2 linked regions of the Bombyx mori genome follow. The protein of the gene in region 1 binds, or shares a complex with, the protein of each later gene. Links are inferred from orthologs where the notes say so. Each region holds a gene or a part of one and is shown in the gene's direction. Other genes may lie near its edges.

What was found.
Region 2: the proteins of cysteine desulfurase, mitochondrial (region 1) and adrenodoxin-like protein 1, mitochondrial are in contact, whole or in part, in a cryo-EM structure (PDB 8RMC), measured with the Homo sapiens proteins. The link is inferred for Bombyx mori from reciprocal best matches to the Homo sapiens genes NFS1 and FDX2. Residues at the interface, in NP_066923.3 of Homo sapiens: Gln153, Lys157, Leu160, Asp161, Arg164, Ala168, Tyr175, Ala384, Ser385, Leu386, Glu387, Pro388, Tyr390, Arg393, Gln456, His457; in NP_001384335.1 of Homo sapiens: Ala104, Cys105, Glu106, Ala110, Cys111, Pro141, Leu142, Ile169, Thr170, Arg171, Asn172, Phe173, Tyr174, Val175, Asp176, His178, Lys181.

Annotation. Positions count from the first base shown.
Region 1 is NC_085110.1:10,986,508-10,996,602, reverse strand, and holds cysteine desulfurase, mitochondrial, read left to right. Parts: upstream 1-4,073; 5' UTR 4,074-4,268; coding exon 4,269-4,389; intron 4,390-4,710; coding exon 4,711-4,787; intron 4,788-4,865; coding exon 4,866-5,120; intron 5,121-5,660; coding exon 5,661-5,826; intron 5,827-7,931; coding exon 7,932-8,216; intron 8,217-8,789; coding exon 8,790-8,963; intron 8,964-9,133; coding exon 9,134-9,266; intron 9,267-9,365; coding exon 9,366-9,519; 3' UTR 9,520-9,798; downstream 9,799-10,095.
Region 2 is NC_085130.1:1,946,683-1,956,855, reverse strand, and holds the start of adrenodoxin-like protein 1, mitochondrial, read left to right. Parts: upstream 1-5,429; 5' UTR 5,430-5,630; coding exon 5,631-5,730; intron 5,731-5,800; coding exon 5,801-5,852; intron 5,853-7,029; coding exon 7,030-7,136; intron 7,137-7,708; coding exon 7,709-7,849; intron 7,850-8,586; coding exon 8,587-8,690; 3' UTR 8,691-10,173. Other genes in the region: zinc finger protein 62 homolog, read right to left, coding at 1-1,776, 2,697-2,939. UniProt on the Homo sapiens protein: Electron donor, of the core iron-sulfur cluster (ISC) assembly complex, that acts to reduce the persulfide into sulfide during [2Fe-2S] clusters assembly on the scaffolding protein ISCU.

The DNA of each region.
Region 1 (10,095 bases):
AGTTCAAGAAATATATTGCGGGGGGACATTTAGTAGAAATTCATTTAATATGGAAGAATAAACTTAGTATATATATAACTAGTCAGGTCATAAGTATTGTCACACAGTAAAAACTTTTCTTTTAGAATGCTGGCCACAAAAAAGTTTATTGAATTCGAATTTCGAATTGTTCATGAAAATAAAAATGTATACTTTTAGAATTTTACTCATTTTTTAATATGGAGTGGACGCTTAAAGAAGACCGAGTTGCAGTTATTGCGTTGCATCGTTGCGGTTACGCGCCAATTCAAATTTTTAACATACTGAAAATTTTGAATATAACCAAAAGATTCGTTTATCGTACCATCAAACGATACAATGAAGACTCTAGTGTAGATGACAGGTCAAGAAGTGGTCGCCCTCGGTCTGTTAGGACTCCAGCAGTGATAAAAGCTATGAAGGCGCGAATTCAAAGAAATCCCAAACGTAAGCAGAAACTGTTGGTCCTTCAGATGGGGTTAAGCAGAACCACGGTGAAAAGGGTGTTAAATGAAGACTTAGGGCTTCGGGCATATCGAAGAAAAACAGGACATCGTTTGAATGCTCGTCTAATGGACCTGAGACTGAAGAGATGCCGCGCTTTGTTGAAGCGGTACGCGGGAAAAAAATATCGGGAAATTCTTTTTTCGGATGAAAAATTTTTTACCGTAGAAGAGAGCTACAACAAACAAAATGATAAGGTGTACGCACACAGTAGTGAAGAAGCGAGCAACCGTATTCCGCGTGTCCAACGAGGTCATTTTCCATCCTCGCTCATGGTATGGTTGGGAGTTTCTTATTGGGGCTTAACAGAGGTACATTTTTGTGAGAAAGGTGTAAAAACGAATGCAGTTGTGTATCAAAATACAGTCCTGACGAATCATGTGGAACCTGTTTCTCATACCATGTTCAATAACAGGCACTGGGTATTCCAACAAGATTCGGCGCCAGCTCATAGAGCGAAGAGCACACAAGACTGGCTGGCGGCGCGTGAAATTGACTTCATCCGGCACAAAGACTGGCCTTCCTCCAGTCCAGATTTGAATCCGTTAGATTACAAGATATGGCAACACTTGGAGGAAAAGGCGTGCTCAAAGCCTCATCCCAATTTGGAGTCACTCAATACATCCTTGATTAAGGCAGCCGCCGATATTGACATGGACCTCGTTCGTGCTGCGATAGACGACTGGCCGCGCAGATTGAAGGCCTGTATTCAGAATCACGGAGGTCATTTTGAATAAACTTTAGTGTCATAAGAATCTATGTTTTGTTAAGTTCATTTTGGTATATGAATGGTTACATAATGAATAAACTTGTTTCAATTATTTTACATTAAACATGTGACAGAATTTATGACCTGACTAGGTATATATACGCTATAAACAGGATTTTATTTAAAAAAACAAATTGTTTACGTCTATATTAGCTTAATTATTATTATCGAGAAGTATCTTGATTGATATATATTACAAGGCTTCGTTTTTTATTTTATTTATTTGTTTTTTATGATCAATCAATAACCAATAGTCGTCGAACAAACGATAATTGATCAAAATGAATTAATCTGAGCGATAAAAATAAAGATAAGTAAGTAAGTAAGAAGGGGCAACATAAGGGTGATCATTTGTTTAATTAATTATAAATAAATAAAAGACAACGACAAAACAAACGACGAACAAATAATTAAAAATTAAAAAATCCGAAAATCCAAAAAAGGGGCCAAATTCAGTGAGCCAGAAACTCATTGGGCATTTTGCATCAAACACTGTTTTGTGAAACATTATTAATCTGATCTTTTATTAATTTGATGGCCTGGGGACCAGACTTTTTATCTTTCATAATCCCTGAATTTGACGTGCCTAGGGTAGGAAGTGCGAAATTGAGTTGTAGGATTACTGCACCAAGTGTTTACACCTGGTATTCATTTGCAAGACTTCGGCTTGTGTTATCGGCAATAATTGTAACACTAAAGTTTACTTACTACTGTGAAACTATCACTTTTATCTTATGACTTCCAATACAATGAGTATATAACAGTCCTTATTTGCAAATATTGGAAATGCACTGTAATATTATGTATTTTAATACATTATATTATATTTTATATATTTTTGAAAGCCTTGGCTTGCAAGCATTTCAAAGGGGGCTACACCTTCTTATTAAATTTAAGTAAGACAAAAAAATCCCAAGCATTGTAACTATCGAGCATCTTTAATTTCATATAGCGGTTTAGGACAAGACAACATTCGAATCGCGCGATGTGATTGTGCCGGTGTTCAAATCCGCATAAAAGTAGGTACCATTTTTTATTGAAATACGCACTTCACATATTTTCACGAATTACTCCCACGATGAAATAATAACATCGTCCAACAAAAATGAAACCCGCAAAAACTATAATTTGCGTAATTAATGGTCTTGTGAGCTCACACATAGGTACCACCACCATGCCTATGAGATAAAATAATGAAGTATCACGATTAGATATCCAGTACAGATTTACATGATACTGGAATTTTTTTGCATTGCATTCCATACAAAATTTTGTCTTGGTTCTGTACAGTGTGGAATAGACTCGATAAAAAATCGATTCTTCGATTCATTGGTCTCAGATCGCACCCTGACACAGCGTGACCAGATTTAGTAGATTTCTACTTTTTTAGTAGATTTTGAGGTACTGGCAACACAATTTAGTATGTAAAAATTATTTTGTATATTTTAGTAGAATTCACGCTTTTCATTTAATCTAGTACTTTTTGGCATAACGGATAAATTCCCCCTTTCATCGAATGGATTGTAACTATTTAATTTTCATTCTTTTCGTTACCGTTCGTGCCGTGAGCATAGTGTGATAGACTAGTGGGAATTCCTTCATTGAGAATTTTTATAATCGAGCTTAAAATGAAACATAAATATACATAAGGATATCGCGACGTCCCATTCATCACGATACCTTGTAGTCGCAGCACAAAACCTGCAAATTGTTGACAAAGAAAATAGGGAATTAAAGTTAGATGTTTCCGTGTCTAATTTATTGTCAACTTCTAGTTCGACGTCTGAAACTTTTATGGTGGATAAATTTTGGAGTGAAGTCAGCCAAATCTGTCAGCCAAAGTAGAAAGAATAATTTCTGATTAATATCCTATTAATATAGGATTAAAAATCAAGATCGAAATCGATTTAATAATAAGAATGTTGCTGCAATACCTAATGCATGAAAAAGAGGGGCTATGACAGTTGATGTCACACATTTGATCCTGACAGAAGTACAAGATATCAATGGACTCAAAACAACTTTTTTTTTTTAAGGTATTTTATGACCTGGTAACTAAGACCTTTAGGTCAAGTCTTATTTTAATTTTAATGATACGTAACTTTTATAAATGAAAATGATATTATAAAATGAAATGAAGTTGATTATGATGAAACATGGCATAAAGTGAAATGAAAACGAAATGAAATGACATGAGATGAGATGATATGGGATGAAGTATAATCTCAGTAAAATGGTGGTCATTTACTGAGACTTTTTCAGTGGACTTTTTGGAAGATCCCGAGAAGTTACGTTCAGTGGCTTTGTTTTATTTTCCCAAATTTGTGCACTTTCACAGATACTAAACAGTTAATAAACCACCGCTATTACACGTTTAAATCTGAAGAAACACTAACTAGACAAAATAAAACAAATCACACAACTTCACTCCTCACGTTCCCGCCAAAAGTCCACTCAAAACAACTTTATGCAAATGTTACCCAACCTAAAGACGAAAATTATATTTTTAATTAGAATTTAATTTAAACAAGAACATTGTCTCTTTAATTAATTGTGGTTTCTTTTTATTATTTTATTGTTTATTGTTAAATTATATTTTATTGTTAAATTAAAATAATTAATTGTTATATACACATAACAATATTTCACAATTTACATTGTAACACGACAGTAAAAAAAGTATAATAGATTTTTAGTATTTCTCTTTCTCTTTTGGTAGAATTCAGTAGATTTTAACCTCCACAAGCAGTAGATTCATCAAATGAAATCTGGTCACACTGCCCTGACAACAAGTGTCAATAGTCTATAAGGTCTTGTAACCGTTGGCCGTAAATAAATTAAAAAAAAAAACAAATGTCAATCACACGATTGAATCATATGAATGAATGATATGAATTCGAAATTATTTTAGTCAAGACTCTGGTTAAGAATTGCTTGTTTTTAAACTTGCAAAATTGTTTAATTTATTTCATTCAAAATGTTCCGTTTGACAAAAAACGTGATTTCGGTGGTTTGTAAATCCGCAATAAAACAGAAAACCCAATTAAATGGAAACGGCGTTGTTATATTTGAGCAAAGCAATTTTTTTTCCGATTCTGGTAAACTACCATGATTTAATTAGTATTATACCTACTTATTTTTGTATCTAATTTCTATGTTCTAAGGTTTAAGTTAATAGTGTATATTCAATGTCATAATATTATACAAAGTTACGCTATATTATTGATTTTTACCCTATCAACAAAATGTGCTAATCATTTACATCACAATTGCCACAATTTTTTGAGTAAACATGGAATATTATACATTACGTGTCAACTTCCCACATCAAATACATTTGTTATTCAATAAACATTTACTGCAAAATTTAATTTTGTTGCAAATTTATTATAAAAAGTTAAAATCAGTACATGTTTCAGCAAATGACAAATTTTCATTAAAACATGAGGAAGTTGGCCGGCCTTTGTATTTCGATGCTCAAGCCACTACACCAATGGTAAGTAGAACATGATACGAAAATTTTACATTTATTCATATCACTTATGAATGGAGATTTAAGTGCAATTAACTTCAGGATCCTAGAGTTCTTGATGTAATGCTACCATACTTAGTAAGTTATCATGGCAATCCACATTCAAGAACTCATGCGTATGGATGGGAAAGTGAAGCTGCTGTTGAAAAAGCCAGAGAACAAGTGGCAAATTTAATAAATGCTGAACCAAAAGAAATTATATTTACTTCAGGAGCAACAGAATCAAATAACATATCTGTTAAAGGTGTGGGTCGATTTTATGCACCAAGAAAAAAGCATGTCATTACTACTCAAATTGTAAGTTTTTAATTATTTTTATTCAAAAAAGTCCTTTAGTAGTAGAAATTTCTATAATAAACATTATATTTTTAACTCACTGCATAAATTATAATAGCTAAGTAAAAGATTGATTCATAGCCATTAGAATGAACTTATCGACACTTGAAAGGCAAACGTGACTAAGCGACAATGCGTGAACTTTACAGTAGACTAATTTAAAGTTGAAATACCCGAAAAAAATTATATTTTAATGAATCTAGCTGTAGGATTGAAATGAATTTAATAGACCTAGAAATATATATTTTTTGCACATCGAATATGGTTATTGCCTATCATTCATATTATTATAGACATAGGCCTCATACAAAGCAGTTATTGTCGCTTAGTCACATTTGCCTTTCAAGCGTCGTTATTTATTATTTATTTCAGTCGTTGTAATTTTCATTTAGTCTGTCTATTAACACAAGTTTACACTTACACTATAGTCACAAGATTACATTGTTGCTTTTTTTTTTTCAAAAATTATATTTTGGTAATAATGGAGTTTTTATTCTTCAGGAACACAAATGTGTTTTAGACTCATGTCGTGCTTTAGAAGGTGAAGGTTTCAGAATTACATATTTACCAGTCCAACAGAATGGAATTATAAATTTAAAGGATTTGGAAGATGCCATCACGCCAGAAACCAGTTTGGTATCTATAATGACTGTCAATAATGAAATAGGTTTGTAAACATGTAAACTTTTTTCATTATGTGCTATTGTGATTTGTAATCTCTGTAATGTTTATATTTTTTTGTTAATTTGTTATATATTAATAACCTTTCAACTTTAAATATATTGTGTGATATGATAGCAAGGAACATTAATAAACTAATTTAACCTCAAGATCCAAAAATTTGTTGACATTGTCTTATCATCATTAACTTGTAATATTTTATAATTTAACAGTAATGTAAATAAATTATAAACTTTATCTGACCTTGCAATAAAATAAAATTGTTTGACAATTTGCATTATCATAAAAGTTTAATATTTCATTCAAAGTAACATCAATTACTCCCCTCGAGACATGATATTGCTGTCTCACTTCAATTGTATGGTGGTCTCAAGCTTCAAACTTAATGCATAACGGCTCTGTACCAGAAATTGGCAGGGTAATATCAACTACTTATGTGGGATTATATTTTTTTAATATTCAGTATTACAGGCCTCCTAGAGGCTCAGTCACAGTTTTACAATCCATACATTTGAGATGAGTCTGAATCCATTGATTTCAGACGACCCCTAGCCCTTGGGTAGGTACTTACGCTATCAAATACAAAATTCCAAGACTTGTAATATATGTAATTATTACAATCATTTATTTATAAGTACATACCTAATTACATTACATGTGTTGTGCTGCCAGATAGTTACATGTCACTTTATTATTGGGTGTTTTCAGATTTATATTATTAAATTTAATTAAGTATTATATTTGCATTCCGATCTTATAAATTTTTGAGGGAAACAGGAGCATAGCTGTGATTTAAATTTTACTTTACTTACTATGTTAATTAAGTAATTTCTCTAAAATATTGTCTCCAACAAATGAGTGGAAAATTCTGTCTTAAATGGTTTTCTAGTTCATTACATCATTAGATTGGCTGTTTCAATGTTTAAGCTTGTTTACATTTTTTGTAACTTCTATTGAAAGATGATATTTGGTAAGGTAACACAAAATTATAGAAATAAACTTAGCTCCTTACTATACTTGAGACCTGAGAACATATCTCAAGGTGGGTGGCGCATTTACGTTGTAGATGTCTATGGGCTCCAGTAACCACTTCACATCAGGTGGGCTGTGAGCTCGTCCACCCATCTAAGCAATAAAAAAATAACGTGTCGCCACGGAGAAATCTATGTAATCGCAAGCATGATTCTTGTTTTATTTTGCTGTAGATGCACATTTGGCACAAGTGTGCACCATTTTAATGAAAGTAATAAAAAACGATTCTCGCAAAACTTTCTTGCGATGCATGCGGTCCGATCTGCTCTCAGAGTTTGAGTGCGCAAAGTAAGCGCAATTGAGGGCCGCGATCCGCGTCGCCCTGCCCGTTCCCCGCCGTTACGCGCAAGTACATTACTTTCTGAACTTTATGGATTGTAAAACTGTGGCTAAGTACGGTGTATCTGTCTAGATAGCACCACCCAATCTCTTTCCATGAGATGTAGTTACCACAACCCTGTCTATTTTTGTAACAGAACAGTCATGCATTCCATCCGGTTTGAAGGGTGAGATAACCACACAATAGATGGAAATCCATCCGGAAATTAATGTGAGTAGTGGCACGTTGTGAAGTTTGGACCAAGAGAGCCATGCGCTTCTTTTCCAACCTACGAAATGACAGTCAATTGTGCTGTGAAAACTACAAACAACGATTATTTTTTACAACAACATGCATTTTACGAATCTAATTGAATAAAATAAAAATGTTATTTATTTCCAAATTAATTTTATAGAGATAGTTTGTGTTGAGCCTACCTAATAATTAACCTAATAGATACCTACTTATGGTGGAAATGGCTCGCTACTTTCCATAACTACACAATTTACAATTTAGACATAAATATAATTAATTATTATATTTACGATTAAAAGTAATACAATCTTAAGTCAGTTGTCGGACAATATAAGTTACAACGATAATCTTTTTTATGAAATCCCGTAAAACAATTGGGTTATTAATACAAATTTATTGAAAAGATAAAATCTTTAGCACAGAGGTGTGTACACCATAAATCTATATAACTTATATGTAATAATATGTGTGTGTAATATTTGCAGGTGTTAGACAACCAATTGAAGCTATAGGAGCAATATGCAAAAGCAAGAAAGTATTTTTTCATACTGATGCTGCCCAAGCTGTTGGAAAGGTACCTTTGGATGTTAACACAATGAACATTGATTTGATGTCGATTTCTGGACACAAAGTTTATGGACCTAAAGGCGTGGGCGCACTATACATTAGGCGGAGGCCTCGAGTGCGCGTAGAGCCAATACAGAGTGGGGGTGGACAGGAGAGAGGCATGAGAAGTGGAACTGTACCCACACCACTTGTTGTGGGATTAGGTTCGTTGACAATGTTTTTATTACCATAGATATGTTCACAGTACATCTATTAAAAAGTTATTAGTCTGTAAACGCCATAAATAGATACTGCAGCCCAGATTTAGACAAGTTGTGAAAATCTATCCCTTTTTTGTTTACCGGTTCTAATAAATAATGTATAGTATTTCATCAAAAAACTGACGCTCATCCTAACACATGCGAGTGAAACTAGGTGTGTTGGAGCAGACATTACATCCTGCAATCAGTACTTGAGATAATAATGAAGGAGAGTTATACAGAAATGCGACGATGTACTGATGGATGTTGACACAAGTCTTAGTAGTAGTTTAATAGGGCTAGATAATAGTCTAAGTATAGATATAATAAAAGAAAGGAAAGATATAATAGATAATATCTAATTAATGGCCTAAGAAAAACCAGTAATGAATTCATGATGAAAATGATAAGACCTGTGTATTTAAACACCAAAATACAGCTTAGTTACTTACATTATTTTATTGATTTAGGGTAGGTAACTAAGCCTTAATACGCCTTAAATTTTTAAATTAAATATCATTTTTTTGGGTATTTTAGGAGCTGCATGTGAGTTGGCCGGACGTGAAATGGCATATGATCATTTATGGATGGAAAAATTATCTAAAAGGTTTTTAGAAAAGATTAATTCTAAGCTGACACATGTGATAAGAAATGGAGATGCTGAACAAACATATCCAGGCTGTGTAAACTTATCTTTTGCATTTGTTGAAGGTCTAGTGAATTTTTTTTTTGTTTACATTATCAAGTGTTATTCAATTAATAATGGAACAATAGAAATAACTTTGTAATCTTTGCACAATATTTATTTATAATCTTACTTTCTGATTATGCAATTAATGAAAAAAGAGAAACTTTTATTTATTTAATTTTGATTCTCACAGGTGAATCTTTGTTGATGGCTTTAAAGGATGTAGCCTTGTCGAGTGGTTCAGCATGTACTTCTGCATCATTGGAACCTTCGTATGTTTTAAGAGCAATAGGAACTGATGAAGACTTAGCCCATAGTTCAATAAGGTATAACATATTCTGACAAATTAAATAAGTTAGTTAATCATCAGTTACAAGTTTTCAGTTTTACATTATTTCTAATTTTATATTACATTTATTTTATAGATTTGGTTTAGGTCGCTTCACAACAATCGAAGAAGTAGACTACACAGCTGAAAAGACGATAAGACATGTTGAACGATTAAGAGAAATGAGTCCACTCTGGGAGATGGTACAAGAAGGCATAGATATAAAGACAATTCAATGGTCGCAGCATTAAAACGTAAAAAAGTTAAAAATATTCCAAATCTAGACGTAGGAAATTGTTTTATTTAATAAGATTGCAAAGATCTGGTTCGAAATGTGTATTTATGCAAGAGTGTAATGGAAAAAAGATCATTTAAAATAGGACAGGAGATATGTTTAAAATGTCTATAAAATACGACATTTTAATGAAATTCCTGCATAAAAAAGAATCATGTACCAAATGTACAGAAGACACAAGTTATGAAATGTGTGATATTATTTTTATTAACAATAAATAGAAGTTGCGTTGAAATTTCTTTTATTATTTTAATACATGTATTAGATTCAATAAATTACACCACAATATTTGATTTATAAAAAAGCTTCGAAATGTTGTCTTAAAATAAACATCCAGTAATATTTATAAAAATAATAATTAAAAAACTGTATCTTATTGTCTATTTGAAATATTGATATTTTCCCATAAAGAATACTAGCTATTAATTAATAATACTTTTGAAATACACATACAATATAACACTATATATACTGCACTGCTTAATGGACGGAAACAAAACAAAAATGACACAATATTAAAGCTTCAATAGAT
Region 2 (10,173 bases), on another chromosome or scaffold:
TTGAAATTTGACTCCCAAATCTGCATGTTTCCTTTTGTGCTTCTCCATAGCGCCCGGGTAATACGTTTTATATCTACAGCCGTTAAATTCGCAATGTATTGTTGTAGCATTTTTGTGTCTTAGAGTGTGCTGAGTTAAACTCACTTTGGAAGTGGTCCGGTATTCGCAATAATTACATTTCATTTCTGTTAATTCAGTGTGTTTGGCTTTCATGTGCTTGTTCAATTCCTTAGTTGACACAATTTCTCCGCACACTTGACACTGTGTCTCTTCAGCTATATGATGGTTTTGTTCAAAATGCAATTTCAATTGATTCCAAGTTACATATGTTTCTGAACATTTCGTACACTGATAGGGATCTTTGATTTCTTCTTTTATATCTTCACATTTTATTTCTATAAAATTCTCAATGTTTTTATAATTAGATAAATGCACTGTGTTTATGTGTTTGCATAATTCAAACTCATCTTTGAAGGATTCTGAACATTGACTACAATTTTGCAGGTTAACATTCACAAGCTTTTGCGTTGGATGTTTTAAAATTAAATGACGTCTATAACTCTCTTTAGTCTTCAAAGTTTTATTACAATATTTACAAGTGTACCTTATGTTCATATGAACTTTCATCAAATGCGGCTTTAGCTGTCTCTTCTCGTGGAATCCTTGATTGCATATATTACAAAAGACAGTTTTTGGGGTGTCAATTTTGTGTAAACGCCTCAGATGTTTCGCGAGGCCAACTTCTGTAGCAAATATAAGTCCACATATCGAACATTCCTTTATGAATTTCACATGTGAATGATTCAGGTATGCTTCTTTACTATTGAATTTTTTCTTGCATATCCTACAGTATGTTCTTATGTCATGTTTTCTTCTGACATGACGTTTTAAACTCTCTAATTTGTCATAGGACAAGTTGCATATTCGGCATTTCAATTGGAATGACTCCTGCAAGGCATTGTGTTTTCTCCTCATATGTAGCTTTAAATAATTAATGGATGTGAACATCAATGGACACTCTTTACATGTAATCTCACCGGTCACCTCATTTCGGAAACTTGCTAAATTTTCGTCATCAGCATTCTCAGATTTCACATTCGGCTCATCACTGACTTTGTGCTTCCTTTGTATATGACGGGCATAGGTTTCCCGTTTGCTAAATATTTTCGTGCAAAACGGGCAGTTGAACCATTGATTCGAGGTTGGTTGTACCCCAGAATGTTTTCTTTGTATATGCACTATTAAGCTTCTGTGTTTCTCATAAGCCAGACCGCATTCTGAGCAAACATGTTTAAATGAATCCTCATATTTTCCATGTTTTCTTGTCATATGCATCCGCAACCTTGACTTTCCTTTGAAAACCAACGAGCATACCTCACAAGTGTGGTCCTCATTGTCTTCTTCCACAGACTCAGGTCCGTGTTTTCTTTTAATATGTGCAACTAAACTATTCTTTGAATCATAAGACATACTGCAGTAGTCACATACATGTTTGCAGAACCTCCGAAATACTTTGTGCTTCCTTTTCTGATGCATGAAAAGAGTTTTCTCAGACTTAAAGACTAGATGGCAAACTTGGCATATTATGTTGTCATTAGTTACAGTTTCCGCTTCTACCTTGATTTTCGGACTGCATTTTACAACATTTTTTTCATTGACAACACTTTCAAATGTTAATATGGCACCTTCATGACTTTGTTCTTCGAGTTTAACAATTGGTTCCATGTCCATGATATCGTTTTGTAACGGCTCAGTGTTACCAGCATCATCGGCATACTGCAATATAGAAAAAATATTTAAAAGTATTAAACTAAATAGCTACTACTTCATTTTGGGCTGTACAAAATATTTAATTCAGATATAAAATTTAACTCATAAATACATTTACAAAGTATTAAGCTAGAAAATTATCACATTGGGTTCCTTCACCACTATGGTGGTGAAATCATCAATAGAAAACTAGATTACATATTTTTATTTTTCCGTGTCACTTTCAGAAAATTCAACTGAAAGCAAACATTCATTATATGTGACATCTCAGGGGCACAGCTAAAACGGCAAATATGGAATTGTTCAGGACCACAAATAATATATTTTAGGACCCAAGCCCAGTAGTTCTTAAGACGTTTTTTTTTCCCAGAAGTATCTTAAATAAGAATGTCGCCACCTTATCTCGTTTAAATAATAATTTTAAAATTTTACAATGCATACCATCAGCTTAGCAAGTACTGTATTACATGATATAAGATTTGTGTGTTTTTATGCACATGTATTTGTGATACATCTAAATATATATTTAATTTTGATAGAGGGTGTTGACAAGTGCTAGATGTAAATTACAATGGTTCTTCTTATAATAAAAGTAAATTGATGAAATTAGGAAATAGCAAGAAAGTCCTTGAATAACTACTTAAATATGTTTTCAGATCTCTAAGTATTTACATATTTCTATTTATTCTACTGTTTATAATAAAAATATTGAATTTAGGTATTTTTACAATTTCTAGCTTGAAATATCTATTTATTTATTGGCATATTCTAATCAATATAATAATTGGTAATTAAAATGTTCATTGAGCCAAGTAAGAGTAAAAACTGGATCAAATTTATAAATATGACTATAAGTATTTTTTATTTAGTGGACTGAATTTGCAATATGCTTTTACATTTAGCAAACATACTTTTATATGTCTTACCTCATCGAAGTTCAATTCCACCTCAATATTCTCTACTTTAATATTTACTTCTGGGTCTAAAGCGAATGTTGGCACCTCTGGAAAATGTTTGCGTTCTATTTCCAAATCTTTGAATGGATCTTCCTGGATCTTTTTTTTCTTCTTTTTCTTCTTTTTGAATTCATATGACATCTCCTCCTCAGGTAGGAATGATGTTGGATCCCTTCGCAATGGCTTGTTTTCACTGTGCAGTTTTAGAGACATTATTCTGGAAGATTAAAGAAAACATACTCTTAAGTTTTTAGGTCCACATGAGTAGTTAGTAGCTTAATTCTGCCATATAGTAGTAATGTAGATGTTTAAAGTAATATAGAAGTCATTGCAGCTTAAGGCAGCCAAGTGCATTCATATTGAGCATAGCAAATGTGTCAGTGTTCAAATCATGCTGGTAGATACCAGTTTTTCTAATGAAATAATTTATAATTGTTCATAGTTGACTTCCAAGATGAAGGAATAACATAGTATAATAAAAAAATAATGCTCAAAAATTATCATTTGCAAAATTACTGATGGTGGGGAATCACGTGAGCCCGCACGGATATGTATACCTTCACGGGCTACATACGGCCATAGGGCTCCCGAGTAGGTACCTGTGGTGGTACCCTACCACTCTACCTATTACTGCAGTAAAGCAGTAATGCTTTATGGTTCCAAGGGCGGGGCAGCCATTTTACTGTAAATACTAAGACTTAGAACTCATGTTCCAAGGTGAGAGTATTAAGGTGGTTAATGTCTAAGGGCTCTGGTAACCACTTAACACTGGGTGGGGCGTGAGTTTGTTGATTTTTTTCGTTACATTGATCTAAGAAATATAAAAAAGTGTTGCAGTGTAAAGGGAATGTTATAAACTAAGGATTATAATATGCTATCTGTGCCAGTCTTTAATATATTGTAAGAACAATAAAATTGAGTATCCATTGTAATAGCTTGCCTAGGCCCTTGACGTTTTTAATGAACAATTCATGAGCAACAGTGACAGCTCCCCACAGAATTAAATGTGAATTAATGTTGCAGAAGACCGCCCCAGAACTAAGGGAAAGCAAGATAAATAGGTTAAATACTTGAAAGTATCTCGTCCATCATTGTATTTTAATTTTAAAACACATTTAGTCCTAGGACTATGTAATATAAGTTACACAACTGGACGTTTCATTTACGAACACAATAAAAACTTGAAATCTGAACTATTGTGGGAAGAAATGCAAATCGAGCACTTTGTTGTTTTCCACAAGAGATTTATGAATAACATTACTATATTTTCCAAAACAATCAATTTCCTATTACTGTTTAAAGTACATAGTCAAATATATTAACGATTTTAGTTTACATTTTTTTACGACATAAAATAAGTGACCAGTAAATAATAATAAAACATACTATCCTCAATTTATAAATATTGATTTCAGAGGGTTAAAACAACGTTTTCTAAGAATGTAGAACCTATCGCTCAAATTTAAAGGCGCGAATGCCGAATGCATTAAACACGTCACTCACCAAAAAATAAGAATATATCAGCAATGTTTTTCATTAAAAATCACGTGTTGTTGTAAGATTATCAGTAATAATCACGCATGTTTGCGTAAAATGATCATATTTAACATTTTTTTTAATTGAACTACCTAAGCCTTTATCATAAAAATCAATATTTTATTATCAATTCATTAATATTTTATACAAAATGGCCTTATAGTATAGAAGTCATCATATGATTGACGCTTGAATAATATGACAATTATGACATTTAATTTTTATTATTGCAAGCTTTACAAAAAATTGCTAATTAAACCAAAGGGTTTTGTATAGAGGCGACTGCTGAAATGTTACAGCTTAAACTATTAATTCACATAGAAGTTATATGTTTAAAATTAATACGTCACTAGCATTTTGGACAGAGAGAGTGAGCTTGTGTTGTTTTATCTATCACACTGAAATCTCAATCTTAGGTTAAACTAAGAAATCAATTTTATTATTATTGAGAGGAACGAAGCTTATCGTCTTAAAATATTTTGGACAGTGAAGTTTTTATTCAATCACGTTTTGACCTTTGCGAGTTTGTTGACGTATCACGTACCGGCCGATGTTATGTCAAACAACGCAATTAATATATAGTATTTAACATGAAGTGAGAATATATATGTACCTATGTATATTAATTTAAATTAAAAAAATTGGATTGTAATTTTACTGCTTTTTTTTAAGGGATTTTATGACCTGGTAACTAAGACTTTTCAGTCATGTCTTATTTTAATTAATATTCTTCTTTTTATGAAAAATGATAATATGGGGTGAAATGAAATGAATTCAAGATGATTAATTTAAGACATTAATCAACTGGGATGAAATTAAATGAAATGAGATGATATGGGATGAATAATCTCAGTAAAATGGTGGTCATTTACTGAGATTTTTTCAGTGGACTTTTTGGAGGATCCCGAGAAGTTACGTCCAGCGGCTTTGTTTCATTTTCCCACATTTGTGCACTTTCACAGATATTAAACAGTTAATAAACCACCGTTATTACACATTTAAACCTGAAGAAACACTAAATAGACAAAATAAAACAAACACACAACTTCACTACTCACGTTCCCGCCAAAAAGTCCTTTAATTTTTGCGGGCTTTCTTTCATCACAGACTATACCTATAAATCAATGGTAGTAGAGAGCTGCCAAAGGCTAAGTATACCTACCTATGACCTACACTACAATCAGCCACAGACTGATATAATAATATCAGCTGACGACAGTCAATAAGTCTCTATTGTCCACATATGTCAACTTCATAGGTAGGTACCTACCTACACCTACTGACTGAAAAATATTCAATGTACATAACCAAAAACCGAATTATTTTATTTTGATTCGAAGTTTTCTCAACAAAGGCACGTTGTGTATCATGCTCCAATTATCAATTAAACGACTTATCTCGTGTAATAGACTGAGTGATTTGCGACGATCGTTTATTGTACAAAACAAGAGAATTCACACTACGAATCGTGAGTATTTACATAGCGTTATATGTTTAGTGCTGACAACAAGAAATATTAATTAAAATGTTATCGGCAGATTTAAAACACGGAGAATACGAATGGCAAGATCCGAAGTCTGAAGATGAAGTGTGAGTATCGCCACAAGCGAAATCTGAAAGGAATTTTGTTACATATATTATCTAGAAAATCTAAAGAGTAGTTACAATTGAAAACCTTAAACGGGGCCTTGATCGAATCAAAACAAAACAATACCATTCTTATTTTTCATATTTTTTATACTAGTTTTTTTGAAATTTCAGTTTCTTCAACAGGTTATGATTATATTTACTATCTTCAGTAAATTAAAAAATTATGTACTTTATATACTAAACACAAAAAAATAAACAAGCTAATAGAATATGATATAATTTTTGTTATGTTTTCAGTATTCATAGATATAAATTTAAAAAATGTTTATATCTAGTAAATATTATTATATTGCATTATTAATATACTAAAGTCATACATTATTAATATACTAAAGTCACACATACATTTTAATATGATTTAAAAGGAAACATATTTTATTTATGCATGAGATGAGATTAAAACTTGTTTTTATAAATGTAGCCATAATAAGTTTATTAATCAAGCTACTAATTAAAGCACAGATAATAAAGGTTATCTCTTGTATAATATATGTGTAAATAGGCAAAAAAAGAAGTACCCTTTTTCTCTTCTGTTAGTTAAGAAAAAGATTTTCTTTGTTTAATGAACAATGGTGTAGATTGCATGGCTATGTTAATCTTCAAATTGATACAAGTACTTAGAGAAATTGGCAATACATGGTGCTAAACATCACTAAAGACTTTGTGTAAATCACATAGTAAATCTAAGTTTCTTTTTTTTTGTTGCTTATATGAGAGGACAAGCTCACAGCCCACCTGGTGTTAAGTGGTTACTGGAGCCCATAGACATCTACAACGTAAATGCGCCACCCACCTTGAGATATAACTTCTAAGTTCTCAAGTATAGTTACAAAGGCTGCCCCACCCTTCAAACCGAAACGCATTACTGCTTCACGGCACAAATAGGCAGGGTGGTGGTACCTACCCGCACGGACTCACAAGAGGTTCTACCACCAGTAATTTAGGAGCCAGGACCTTAGGAACCTTAGAACTCAAGGTGTGTGGCGCATTTACGTTGTAGATGTCCATGGGCTCCAGTAACCACTTAACACCGTCTGAGCTCGTCCACACATCTAAGCAATAAAAAAAAAATGCTTCATTTGTTCCTAGTTATTATTATTAATAATTTATATTTCAGTGTGAACGTTGTATATGTTGATAAAGATGGAGTTAAAATAAATGTTAAAGGGAAAGTTGGTGATAACATTTTATATTTAGCACATAGATATGAGATTCCTATGGAAGGTTTGTAGTGTTTTACTTCAATTATTATTGTTCTTTCTATGACACGGTATCATTCAACACCATAATCTGAATCCAGCCAGTCAAGTTACAATAATGAAATTAAAGTTTAAAAAAAGATTACTTTGTACCTTACATGTTAATTGTTTTGTCCAGTCCAGTAATCTCTTAACACATAACATTAGGTATGCATGTGGGCTTTGGATAATTACTCACAATAGTATAGTAGTATACGTCCGTCTGGTGTAGTGGTAAGTGACATGGTCAAACGGCCGTCTGGTGTAGTGGTAAGTGACATGGTCACTACACAAGGGGGTCGCGGGTTCGAATCCCGCCAAGGGAAGATATTTGTATGATAAATATAAATGTCTTTTCCAGGGTTATGGATGTATATTTAATATATTATGTATGTGTATAATAAAAATCTTACATTTATTTCCCTTATCTGGTACCTGTAACACAAGTTCTTTACGAACTTATCACGGGACCAGTTAACGTGGCGTGATTGTTAGTAAATATTTATTTGTTAGTAAAATAGTATGTATCCATAAGTTAACCATACTTATTAATTACAGGTGCATGTGAAGCTTCATTGGCGTGCACAACTTGCCACGTATACATTCCTCACGATTACTTAGATAAGCTCCCGCCATCGGAAGAGAAAGAAGATGATCTGTTAGATATGGCTCCGTTTCTCAAAGAAAATTCTAGATTAGGTACACATTCTAATAGCATAAGTAAGCAAAAAGAGCGCGCCGTGTACGGGAATTATAGTCTAGCTTTTCTGATGAGAATGTATGATTACTTCGCGGCAGAAAAGCCAAGATGGTAGTACCTACTCATGTGGACTTACATACAGAATGGCCCTAATAAAGGGTGTGATGGTGGAAGTATTCGCATTGTAATGTTCTGGATCTGGTAACCACTTAACACTAAGTGGGCCGTAATTCGTTCACCTGTCTATGCAATAGAGAGTGGTAGCATGTTAATTCTGACCCTTTTCAGCGTTTAGTGTAAAGTGTTTAACGTTTTACTAGATAAATCGCAATATTTTTTATTGCTTAGATGGTTGGACGAGCTCACAGCCCACCTGGTGTTAAGTGGTTACTGGAGCCCATAGACATCTACAATGTAAATGCGCCACCCACCTTGAGATATAAGTTCTAAGGTCTCACTATAGTTACAACGGCTACCCCACCCTTTATACCGAAACGCATTACTGCTTCAAATACCAACTCGTCATTTTGAAGGATAAGGATAAGGATGACCCTCCGCACTCCCTCAAGATAGTGAGACAGCACAGCTTTTAATTTCATTACAATGAGTGCAATTTAAAAAAAACAGTTGTAAAGTTTGCATTTGCCTCCTTTTTTCCCATTTTTTTTCTAGTATTATTTAGATACTGGGCCCAAATCTGAGGCTGCCAATCCAAGTAATTTTTTTTTATTTGCAGGTTGTCAAATTGTTTTAACAAAAGAATTGGAAGGTATGGTAATACAATTACCGAAAGCAACTAGGAACTTTTACGTGGACGGACATAAACCTAAGCCACATTAATTTTAAATACTGGTGGTATTAGAAATGAAGAAAGCATAATTTATTTATGAAGTTACTGATAAAGAAACGTGTGAGCAAAACGAAGCACAGTGAATACAGTCCAGTTATCGTTCCGAGGGGCTGAAAAGTGAATGTTGTATTTAAAGTTGAAGACAATATACTTTTGCTAACATGAAATGAATGATACGTCAAGTTTTTTAGGAATCCGTAATGTATATTACACAAGATGGCTCAGCTCTTTCTAATAATGCGTAGATAATTAGTAACAAAAAAACATTCAGGGTTTTTTAAGTGTCATCTTATCATTGCCCCTTCCTCATCCTTGTTGCGGTTGTGCTCCTTAATGCTGAGGGTAGTGACCTTTACAGAGCATTTTGTTTGGAACATGTTCCTTCATTCTTTTCAGTCCTCTGTGCAGTGGAGAGTGACATTGATGATTGCTATTTCCCTTTACACAATATTAATTTTAACTGGGGTTACACTTCTAAATTGACCCAGAGAATGCACTCACCCATCAGTCTAATTACTCTAATTTGGATCTGTGCTTCAAAAATACTGTCATTACTAAATACCAATTGGCGATCTCATGAGTGAGACACTCACCGGAAGAGATGTAGTGGTGTTATTCTACACCACAACACGCAACTAGTTCCTCTATATTATATTTTCATCTGTCAATATGCAGACTACCTTCAGTCTCAATCAATGTTTACGGGTATTTCCCAAAGGAGTTTTTTAGTCTTGCTCCTAATTAATTATGAATTGGATGGCTTGTTTGATTTAGTGATTATTGACTCTGTCTTCTGTACAGCAGGGTTGGGATTACATTTCTGGACAAAGTCAAAATCTTTGAGATTAGCATTGATCACGGGGGCTGTACCCGAGTCTACGCGTGCCTGTACAGGTCCCACAGCAGTGATGCAGGTTCAGCTCTGATAGAGCATGTGCAAGAGGGGACTAACCGCGTGCTTGAGCAGTACCCATCTGCGGAGGTGGTGGTTCTTGGAGACTTTAACGCTCATCACCAAGAGTGGTTGGGGTCCAGAACCACTGACCTCCCGGGTCGGACTGCCTACGATTTCGCCTTGGCCTACGGCCTCTCCCAGCTGGTGACACAGCCCACCCGTGTCCCAGATATTGAGGGGCACGAGCCTTCTCTGTTGGACCTTCTGCTGACCACCGATCCAGCCGGATACAGTGTGGTGGTCGACGCTCCACTTGGATCGTCTGATCACTGCCTTATCCGTGCTGCCACACCACTCTCTCGTCCTAGTCGTCGAACGACGACCAGGTATCGAAGAGTTTGGCAGTATTTGTCAGCAGATTGGGATGGATTGCGTGAGTTTTACGCATCCTACCCATGGGGGCGGTTCTGCTTTTCCTCTGCTGATCCTGACGTCTGTGCGGACCGTCTTAAAGACGTGGTGCTCCAGGGGATGGAATTGTTTATTCCCTCCTCTGAAGTGCCCGTTGGGGGTCGCAG